Linked DNA regions of Macaca mulatta. The protein of the gene in region 1 interacts with the protein of each later gene in a biochemical or structural test. Links are inferred from orthologs where the notes say so. Each region holds a gene or a part of one and is shown on either strand. Other genes may lie near its edges.

The links. The genes of interacting proteins can lie anywhere in the genome.
Region 2: the proteins of GSK3B (region 1) and MUC1 form a complex in vitro, tested with the Homo sapiens proteins (2 studies listed by BioGRID). The link is inferred for Macaca mulatta from reciprocal best matches to the Homo sapiens genes GSK3B and MUC1.

The regions. Positions count from the first base shown.
Region 1 is NC_133407.1:163,632,674-163,637,310, forward strand, and holds the start of GSK3B (glycogen synthase kinase-3 beta), read left to right. Parts: upstream 1-1,413; 5' UTR 1,414-2,427; coding exon 2,428-2,515; intron 2,516-4,637. UniProt on the Homo sapiens protein: Constitutively active protein kinase that acts as a negative regulator in the hormonal control of glucose homeostasis, Wnt signaling and regulation of transcription factors and microtubules, by phosphorylating and inactivating glycogen synthase (GYS1 or GYS2), EIF2B, CTNNB1/beta-catenin, APC, AXIN1, DPYSL2/CRMP2, JUN, NFATC1/NFATC, MAPT/TAU and MACF1.
Region 2 is NC_133406.1:111,806,134-111,810,972, forward strand, and holds the start of MUC1 (mucin-1), read left to right. Parts: upstream 1-1,926; 5' UTR 1,927-1,983; coding exon 1,984-2,041; intron 2,042-2,490; coding exon 2,491-3,959; intron 3,960-4,058; coding exon 4,059-4,114; intron 4,115-4,262; coding exon 4,263-4,399; intron 4,400-4,544; coding exon 4,545-4,666; intron 4,667-4,754; coding exon 4,755-4,839. UniProt on the Homo sapiens protein: The alpha subunit has cell adhesive properties. Can act both as an adhesion and an anti-adhesion protein. May provide a protective layer on epithelial cells against bacterial and enzyme attack.

The DNA.
Region 1 (4,637 bases):
ATCACCCTAATTCCAAAAGATCCAAAACTACCACGGGCTCCTCTAACCCCCCATTTCCTTGGAGGCTTCAGGATATCCGGCCTGACGGCATTTCCCCTCACCTGCTTTCGGGGCCCGTTTTGCGCTGGGCAGTTGCGCCCAAGGAGCGCGCGCATCCAGCATGAGCTCATTTCTCATGGGCGTTTCCAGAGGCCCGGCCGGGCCGCGCACACCAAGCGCAGCGGGCCTCTCTATCAATGGCCCCCGAGGCTGGGCGGGGCGCGGCCGCCCAAAGAAGCTTTGTTCCCATTTTAGCGTCTGAGAGCTTGCTGCCGGCTGGGAAGGCCCCCTTTGTCCGTCAGGCCCTTTCGGGGAAGAGGCCGACACCCGGCACACGCGATCCAGGGCAGAGGGGAGCCTTAGGCGCGCAGAATTGGCTGCGCCCCGCCGAGAGCCTCCTGTGGATGGGGAGAACCCCTCGACCCCTCTGCTCGCTTGAGCTCTTAGAACCCAGCGCCGCCGACCGCAGCACTTTCCGATTTGCTGCGCCTAGGGCAGGCGGTCCCTATGTGCGGTTTCCACCGTAGTTGGAGGCCGCAGGCGAGCCGTCGGGTCGTCAGCCACGACCCTAGTCGGGCATCTCCCAGGTCCTGGGACGGAGGCCGAAGGCCAATCACACTGCAGCTAAGTCTTGCGATTGGACGGCAGTGAGAGCCGATTGGCCACCGCCGCGAGTTTCGAGCTCCACCCTCTCCCTTTTGCCCCAACTCCAGCGCCTAAGCTTCCGGCCAATGAGACGGCGCTTTATAGACGCCCTCCCTTCGCTTTCTTCTCCCCACCTTGGAGAGGGAGGGGAAGTCCTGACTGGCCAAACTGTCCTCGGAAGCCCCCTTCCCTTCACCAATCACCGAGGGAGGTACGCTCCCAGCGGAGTTTTCCAGCCAATTACAAAGCGGCGGCGGCGCCCAACCGTGCAGTTTCACCAGCGTCTCTGGGTTTCACCGTCTTCAACTCTTCAAGCTTTTTCGTGAGGGCCGGCGACTCTGATTGGCCACTGTTGCCATTGTCGAATGTCTCCTCCAGCCAGCCACCGAACAAGGCGAAATCACCCTTTCCGTTCGGCTGCCTTCGGCATTTTCCGCTCTTTGGGCGTGGCTTTCCAGCGTCACTTTCTAATTGGTTTCTCAGGCCGATCGGCTTTTTCCGGGAGGAGCCGCAAACAAACGACGTCCGTGATTGGCTCCGTTCGGGCTTCGGCTCCCAGCCGAAGCGGGCGAGAGTGGGGCTCGGGCGGCGATTCCCAGACGCCTGTTACGCGGGCGGCGGTGCGCTGGGCGGTGTAAGGCTGGGTGGGGGAGGAAGGAGGTGGAGGAAGAGTAGGAAGGGGGAGGGGGAGTGGGGAAGTGCAAGGCGGCTGCGCAGACAGCGCTCCTCACACAGAGCAGCCCCTGACCCGGGCGAATGCGGGCTTGTGCCGCCGCTGCCGCCGCCGCCCGGGCCGAGTGACAAAGGAAGGAAGGAAGGAAGCGAGGAGGAGCCGGCCCCGCAGCCGCTGACAGGGTTCTGGGCTGGGGGCAAAGCGCGGACACTTCCTGAGCGGGCACCGAACAGAGGCGAGGGGCGGGAGGGCGGCCGAGCTGTTGCCGCGGACGGGGGAGGGGGCCCCGAGGGACGGAAGCGGTTGCCGGGTTCCCATGTCCCCGGCGTATGGGGAGCAGTCGAGGAGCCGCTGCCTGGGGTCTGAAGGGAGCTGCCTCCGCCACCGCCGCCGCCATGGCCGCTGGATCCAGCCGCCGCCTGCAGCTGCTCCTGGCGCAATGAGGAGAGGAGCCGCCGCCACCGCCCGCCTCTGACTGACTCGCGACTCCGCCGCCCTCCAGTTCGCCGGGCCCCCGCCGTCAGCCCGCCGGATCCCACGGCTGCCGGAGCTGCAGCGTTTCCCGTCGCATCTCCGAGCCACCCCCTCCCTCCCTCTCCCTCCCTCCTACCCATCCCCCTTTCTCTTCAAGCGTGAGACTCGTGATCCTTCCGCCGCTTCCCTTCTTCATTGACTCGGAAAAAAAATCCCCGAGGAAAATATAATATTCGAAGTACTCATTTTCAATCAAGTATTTGCCCCTGTTTCACGTGATACATATTTTTTTAGGATTTGCCCCTTCTTTTCTCTCCTCCCAGGAAAGGGAGGGGAAGGAATTGTATTTTTTCCCCAGCCGTAAATCATCTATATGTTAAATATCCGTGCCGATCTGTCTTGAAGGAGAAATACATCGCTTGTTTTGTTTTTTATAGTATACAAAAGGAGTGAAAAACCAAGAGGACGAAGTCTTTTTCTTTTTCTTCTGTGGGAGAACTTAATGCTGCATTTATCATTAACCTAACACCCCAACATAAAGACAAAAGGAAGAAAAGGAGGAAGGAAGGAAAAGGTGATTCGCGAAGAGAGTGATCATGTCAGGGCGGCCCAGAACCACCTCCTTTGCGGAGAGCTGCAAGCCGGTGCAGCAGCCTTCAGCTTTTGGCAGCATGAAAGTTAGCAGTGAGTATTGATTTTATTTTACGCCCCTTTTCCACTTCGCCCTTAAAATAAGAAATCTCGGAATACCAGGATCTGAAAATATTAGACTTCCTAATATAACAAACAAGCAATGGAAAAGGGCAAAACCTATCTTCAGTCAAGGATGAAGCAGCTCCCTCTTTACTCCTCCCATACCCCCTCCCCCGGTCTCATTAACCTTGAATTGAGATAATATGATTTTTATTTGGATGATTCGATTTGAAACTGCTTTCTTATACTTTTCTTGCTGTTGGTAGTGAGTTTCATCAAGTGCTTGAGTGTTTCCACGTTAGTGATGACCGTGTTTACTTGCCCATCCTTTAGAATAAAGAGAAGGACAAGATTTGATTAATAAACCATTGTGCACATTTGCAGAATGTATGTCTTTTGGAATAAGAGGGTATTTTAGGTCTCAGGATTTATCATAGTTTGGTATACTTAATAGAGACATTAAACGTCCCACCCTCCCAACATTTTTTTCTTGTCTGTATGACTACACATAGTATTTGTTCTTAATCTGTGGATGAACTTGCTCAGTAACCATTCACATTTGGAGGCTGTCATTGATTTCTCTCTTTAGAAGGGACTAGTGGGAGCCAATAAATACCCAGCAGCAGTAGCATCTCTGTATGCATTTGTGTTCGATTGGATTAGTGGTTTGATGTGTTCTCTCTTAACCTTCCTGTTTTGACATTACCAACCTGCCACCGTATAATTTATATTTAATCAAAAGGTAACATAGAAGTATTAATAGGTCCAGGTTTTGATTGAGATTTGTTTTGTCATAGTGCCAAATAGTAAGTTAAATGTTGTCACTGGCTCATTACATTTAAGTTCAATTTTGGAGTACTGTTGCGCTCCTGTTAAATGTTCTGGAGGGTTCCTTAAAAAGGACGATTTAAAATACTCTTGCGTTAGTTTCCATCACATTTAGATAACTGTGGATTTAGTTAGAAGAATGTGGCTTTAGTCCTTTCCATTTTGGCTTTTGCAGATGGCTGTGGTCCTGGAAATAATAGGGATATTTGGACTGTGTTCAGGGTTGTAGATAGACTACTCTTGTCCTGGGTTTGTGCTGAGAAGTATGCTTTTGAAGTGTTTAGTATATACTAAGTATCTAATGTTCCAGTGTATCTCTATTTATGGAGAAGTTCATGTGGTGTTTAATGACAGCTTGTTTAAACATACTTTCAGAATTTAACAAAAATATCTATGTTGTTTCCTTATTGTGGGAAAGAGGGTCATCATGAGGGCAAAGAAATTACTGTGTTGCTTAGAAGAACGGAGAGAACTAAAGAACTGAGATTTTAAGAACTGACACACACAAAAAACATGTATGTTATGTGAAATTGATTATATTCTTAGGCAACATAAAATGATCACTTTTAGTTGAACTCAAGATTTCATTTCGTGTTGGCTTTGGGAACTAGCCTGAAACAGGGTAGTCTAGGTAATAGCTGAATGGGAGATTATTTTTCAAAGTTAATTTTTTTTTCCCCCGGTGGTTTGCAAGTAGAGAATGCCGGGGTAGGAAAAGAGGACAGCTGATTATGCATCTTTCAGGGAAGGGTCGTGCTTTCTAAGCGCTTCATGGAGTCATTTGAAAAATATTTTAAAATTCCGGGGTAATTTTCAGCTATGATGATACAAATCTTATAATAACTACTTAAGAGCCTCTGTTGGTACTGGAGTGTTTGTATGTTTTACATCTTGGTAATATAGTTTGAAAACCAGTCAATCAATTTCAGCTAATTGATTTATTAGCTTTATTTCAGAGATCTATAATGCTAGATTATAATGCTACATTTTGGGACTTTTCATTTTCTTTCCAGGATTTTCTTTGAAATGACTTTTGAATTTTTGATAATGCAGATACTAAGGATGGAGTAACTCTTGTAAAATATATAGATGAAAATGTTTATTTTCTGATTACCGTATAGGTCAATTTAGAATTTAAAAAGTTGGAGTTTAGTGTTAATTATGTGTTTTTGACAGCTTTGACTTTAAAAACATTTAAAAGAAAGGGGAGTCTTTAAGCATTTGTTAGGATGCTAGCATTCTAAGGAACCCCTGTTGAAAACAGAAACATAAGAAATTGTAGTCC
Region 2 (4,839 bases), on another chromosome or scaffold:
GCCTCCCCGGCCCGCGTTCCCGGGCGCACTGACGTCAGACGCCCCCACCCCGCCCAGCGCCCGCCCCGGGGTCTCGCAGCTCACAAAGCTGCGCCTCGGGTACCGAGCGGCGCGCGGGCGGGAACGGTGGTCTCTCGTCTGCTGATCCGATGCTCTCCAATCCCGTGCCTCGCCGAAGTGTTTTTAAAGTGCTTTCCAACCTGTGTCTTTGGAGCTGAGAACTGTTTTCCGAATACAGGCGGAACTGCTTCCGTTGGCCTAGAGCGCAGCCTGCGACTGCGGGACCCAAGTTCCACGTGCTGCCGCGGCCCGGGATAGCTTCCTCCCCTGGTGCACTGCTGCCGCACACACCTCTCGGCTCTTGCGCATTACGCACCTTACGTGTGCTTTTGCCTTCCACTACGTACCTACCTGTCCCCAATACCACTCTGCTCCCCAAAGGATAGTTCTGTCCCTAAATCCCATTCTGTCACCCCAACTACTCTCTGCGCCCCCCCCCTTTTTGAGACGGAGTCTTGCTCTGTCGCCCAGGCTGGAGTGCAGTGGTGCGATCTCGGCTCAGAGCAACCTCTGCCTCCTGAGTTCAGGCGATTCTCCTGCCTCAGCCTCCTGAGTAGCTGGGATTACAGCGCCCGCCACCACGCTCAGCTAATTTTTGTATTTTTTAGTAGAGACGGGGTTTCTACTAAAAACTTGGCCAGGCTGGTCTTAGAACTCCTGACCTCGTGATCCACCCGCCTCGCCCTTTCAAAGTGCTGGGATTACGGGCGTGAGCCACCGCGCCCGGCCCGATCTGCCTCTTAAGTACATAACGGCCCACACAGAACGTGTCCAACTCCCCTGCCCACGTTCCAATGTCCTCTCCCACATATCTCAGTGCCCTTTCCACATACCTCAGGACCCCACCCGCTTAGCTCCATTTCCTCCAGACGCCACCACCACGCGTCCAGGAGTGCCCCCTCCTAAAGCTCCCAGAAGTCCACCATGCTGTGCGTTCCTCCCTCCCTGGCCACGGTAGTGACCCTTCTCTCCCGGGCCCTACCTCCCTCTCGCGGGCTCTCGCTGCCCCACTTAGGCAGCGCTGCCCTTACTCCTCTCCGCCAGGTCAGAAAAGCTCCTCAGCCGGCGCGGTCCAGCCCCGCAAGGCTCCTGGTGACCACTAGAGGGCGGGAGGAGCTCCTGGCCAGTGGTGGACAGTGGCAAGAAAGGACCCTAGGGTTCATCGGAGCCCAGGTTTCCTCCCTTAAGTGGAAATTTCTTCCCGCACTCCCTTCTCAGGAGAATGCCAAGGAGGGAACCCAGGCTGCTGGAAAGTCCGGCTGGGGCGGGGACTGTGGGTTTCAGGGTAGAACTGCGTTTGGAACGGGACAGGGAGCGGTTAGAAGGGTGGGGCTATTCCGGGAAGTGGTGGGGGGAGGGAGCCCAAAACTAGCACCTAGTCCACTCATTATCCAGCCCTCTTATTTCTTGGCCCCGCTCTGCTTCAATGGACCCAAGGAGGGCAGGGAAGTGGAGTGGGAGACCTAGGGGTGGGCTTCCTGGCCTTGCTGTACAGAACCTCAACCTAGCCGTCTTTGTTCCCCATTCCCACCTTAGTTGTTGCCCTAGGGCTAAAACTAGAGCCCAGGGGCCCCAGGTTCCAGACTGCCCCTCCCCACTCCACCCTGGAGCCAGGGAGTGGTTGGTGAAAGGGGGAGGCCAGCTGGAGAACAAATGGGTAGTCAGGGGGTTGAGCGATTAGAGCCCTTGTAGCCTACCCAGGAATGGTAGGGGAGGAGGAGGAACAGGTAGAAGGTAGGGAAGGGGGAGGGGGCGGGGTTTTGTCACCTGTCACCTGCTCCAGCTGTGCCTAGGGCGGGCGGGCAGGGGGGAGGGGGGCCAGGGGGACTGGTATAAAGCAGCAGGCGCCTGTGCCCGCTCCACCTCTCAAGCAGCGCCTGCCTGAGTCTGTTCTGCCCTCTCCCCACCCAGTCCACCACCACCATGACACCAGGCACCCAGTCTCCTTTCTTCCTGCTCCTGATCCTCACAGTGCTTACAGGTGAGGGGCACAAGGTGGGGAGTGGGCTGCCCTGCTTAGGTGGTCTTCGTGGTCTTTCTGTGCCAGGTTTTGCTCCCTGGCAGATGCACCATGAAAGGCAAGAATTCTGTCTGTGCCAGAAGGAGGGAGAGGCTAAGGACAGGCTGAGAAGAGATGCCCCCCCCAAAGAGTGGGTGCCAGGGGCAAGCAAATGTCCTGAAGAGAAGTCTAGGGGGAAGGGAGTAGGGAGAGGGAAGGCTTAAGAGGGGAGAAATGCAGGGGCCAGGAGCTGAGGCCTGTGGGCAGACAGAAGGAGGCTGCTGCAGGGAAGGAGGCAGCCAACCCAGGGGCTGCTGAGGCTGCCCACTCCCCAGTCCTCCTGGTATTATTTCTCTGGTGGCCAGAGCTTGTATTTTCTTCTTGCTCTTATTTTTCCTTCAACCCAACCCTATTAGTTTAACTTATCACAGCTGCCACAGCCCCTGAACCCACAACAGTTGTTACAGGTTCTGGTCATACAAACTCTACCCCAGGCGGAGAAAAGGAGACTTCGGCTACCCAAAGAAGTTCAATGCCCATCTCTACTAAGAATGCTGTGAGTATGACCAGCAGACTCTCCAGCCACAGCCCCGTTTCAGGCTCCTCCACCACTCAGGGACAGGACGTCACCCTAGCCCTGGCCACGGAACCAGCCACAGGTTTGGCTACCACCTTGGGACACAATGTCACCTCGGCCCCGGACACCAGTGCAGCCCCGGGCTCCACCGGCCCCCCAGCCCGCGTAGTCACCTCGGCCCCGGACACCAGTGCAGCCCCGGGCTCCACCGGCCCCCCAGCCCGCGTAGTCACCTCGGCCCCGGACACCAGTGCAGCCCCGGGCTCCACCGGCCCCCCAGCCCGCGTAGTCACCTCGGCCCCGGACACCAGTGCAGCCCCGGGCTCCACCGGCCCCCCAGCCCGCGTAGTCACCTCGGCCCCGGACACCAGTGCAGCCCCGGGCTCCACCGGCCCCCCAGCCCGCGTAGTCACCTCGGCCCCGGACACCAGTGCAGCCCCGGGCTCCACCGGCCCCCCAGCCCGCGTTGTCACCTCGGCCCCGGACACCAGTGCAGCCCCGGGCTCCACCGGCCCCCCAGCCCGCGTTGTCACCTCGGCCCCGGACACCAGTGCAGCCCCGGGCTCCACCGGCCCCCCAGCCCGCGTTGTCACCTCGGCCCCGGACACCAGTGCAGCCCCGGGCTCCACCGGCCCCCCAGCCCGCGTTGTCACCTCGGCCCCGGACACCAGTGCAGCCCCGGGCTCCACCGGCCCCCCAGCCCGCGTTGTCACCTCGGCCCCGGACACCAGTGCAGCCCCGGGCTCCACCGGCCCCCCAGCCCGCGTTGTCACCTCGGCCCCGGACACCAGTGCAGCCCCGGGCTCCACCGGCCCCCCAGCCCGCGTTGTCACCTCGGCCCCGGACACCAGTGCAGCCCCGGGCTCCACCGGCCCCCCAGCCCGCGTTGTCACCTCGGCCCCGGGCACTAGTGCAGCCCCGGGCTCCACCGCACCCCCGGGCTCCACCGCACCCCCAGCCCACGATGTCACCTCGGCCTCAGACTCTGCATCAGGCTCAGCTTCCACTCTGGTGCACAGCACCACCTCTGCCAGGGCTACCACCACCCCAGCCAGCAAGAGCACTCCATTCTCAATTCCCAGCCACCACTCTGATACTCCTACCACCCTTGCCAGCCACAGCACCAAGACTGATGCCAGTAGCACTCACCATAGCACAGTACCTCCTTTCACCTCCTCCAATCACAGCACTTCTCCCCAGTTGTCTCTTGGGGTCTCTTTCTTTTTCTTGTCTTTTCACATTTCAAACCTTCAGTTTAATTCCTCTCTGGAAGATCCCAGCACCAACTACTACCAACAGCTGCAGAGAGACATTTCTGAATTGGTGAGTATCAGCCTTTCCTTTCCCATGTTCCCCTGAAGCAGCCATCAGAACTGTCCACACCCTTTGCATCAAGCCTGAGTCCTTTCCCTCTCACCCCAGTTTTTGCAGATTTATAAACAAGGGGATTTTCTGGGCCTCTCCAATATTATGTTCAGGTATAGTTCTGGGTGTGGACTCAGTGTGGTGGTTGGAGGGTGGGTGTTGGTCATGACCGTAAGGAGGGACTGGTGCTCTCAAGGTTGGGGGAGAGTCCTGAGCCAGAGCTGGGACCTGTGGCTGAAGTGCCCATTTCCCTGTGACCAGGCCAGGATCTGTGGTGGTACAATCGACTCTGGTCTTCCGAGAAGGTACCACCAATGTCCACGATGTGGAGACACAGTTCAATCAACGTAAAACGGAAGCAGCCTCTCGATATAACCTGACGATCTCAGACATCAGCGGTGAGGCTACTTCCCCGGCTGCAGCCCAGCACCATGCTGGGGCCCCTCTCCTACCAGTGTCTAGTTCCCCACTTTTTCCTTAGTGCTGGCAGTTAGAGGGGCACCTCCTCTGGGAGACTGCCCTAACCACTGCTTTTCCTTTTAGTGCGTGATGTGCCATTTCCTTTCTCTGCCCAAACCGGGGCTGGGGTGCCAGGCTGGGGCATTGCGCTCCTGGTGCTGGTCTGTGTTCTGGTTGTGCTGGCCATCGTCTATTTCATTGCCTTGGTGAGTGCAGTCCCTGGCCCTGATCAGTGCCCACCCCCCCGCCGACAGAAAGCACTCCATGGTCTGCCATAACCTCCTATTTCCCCAGGCTGTCTGTCAGTGCCGCCAAAAGAACTACAGGCAGCTGGACATCTTTCCCGCCCGGGATGCCTACCATCCTATGAGCGAGTACC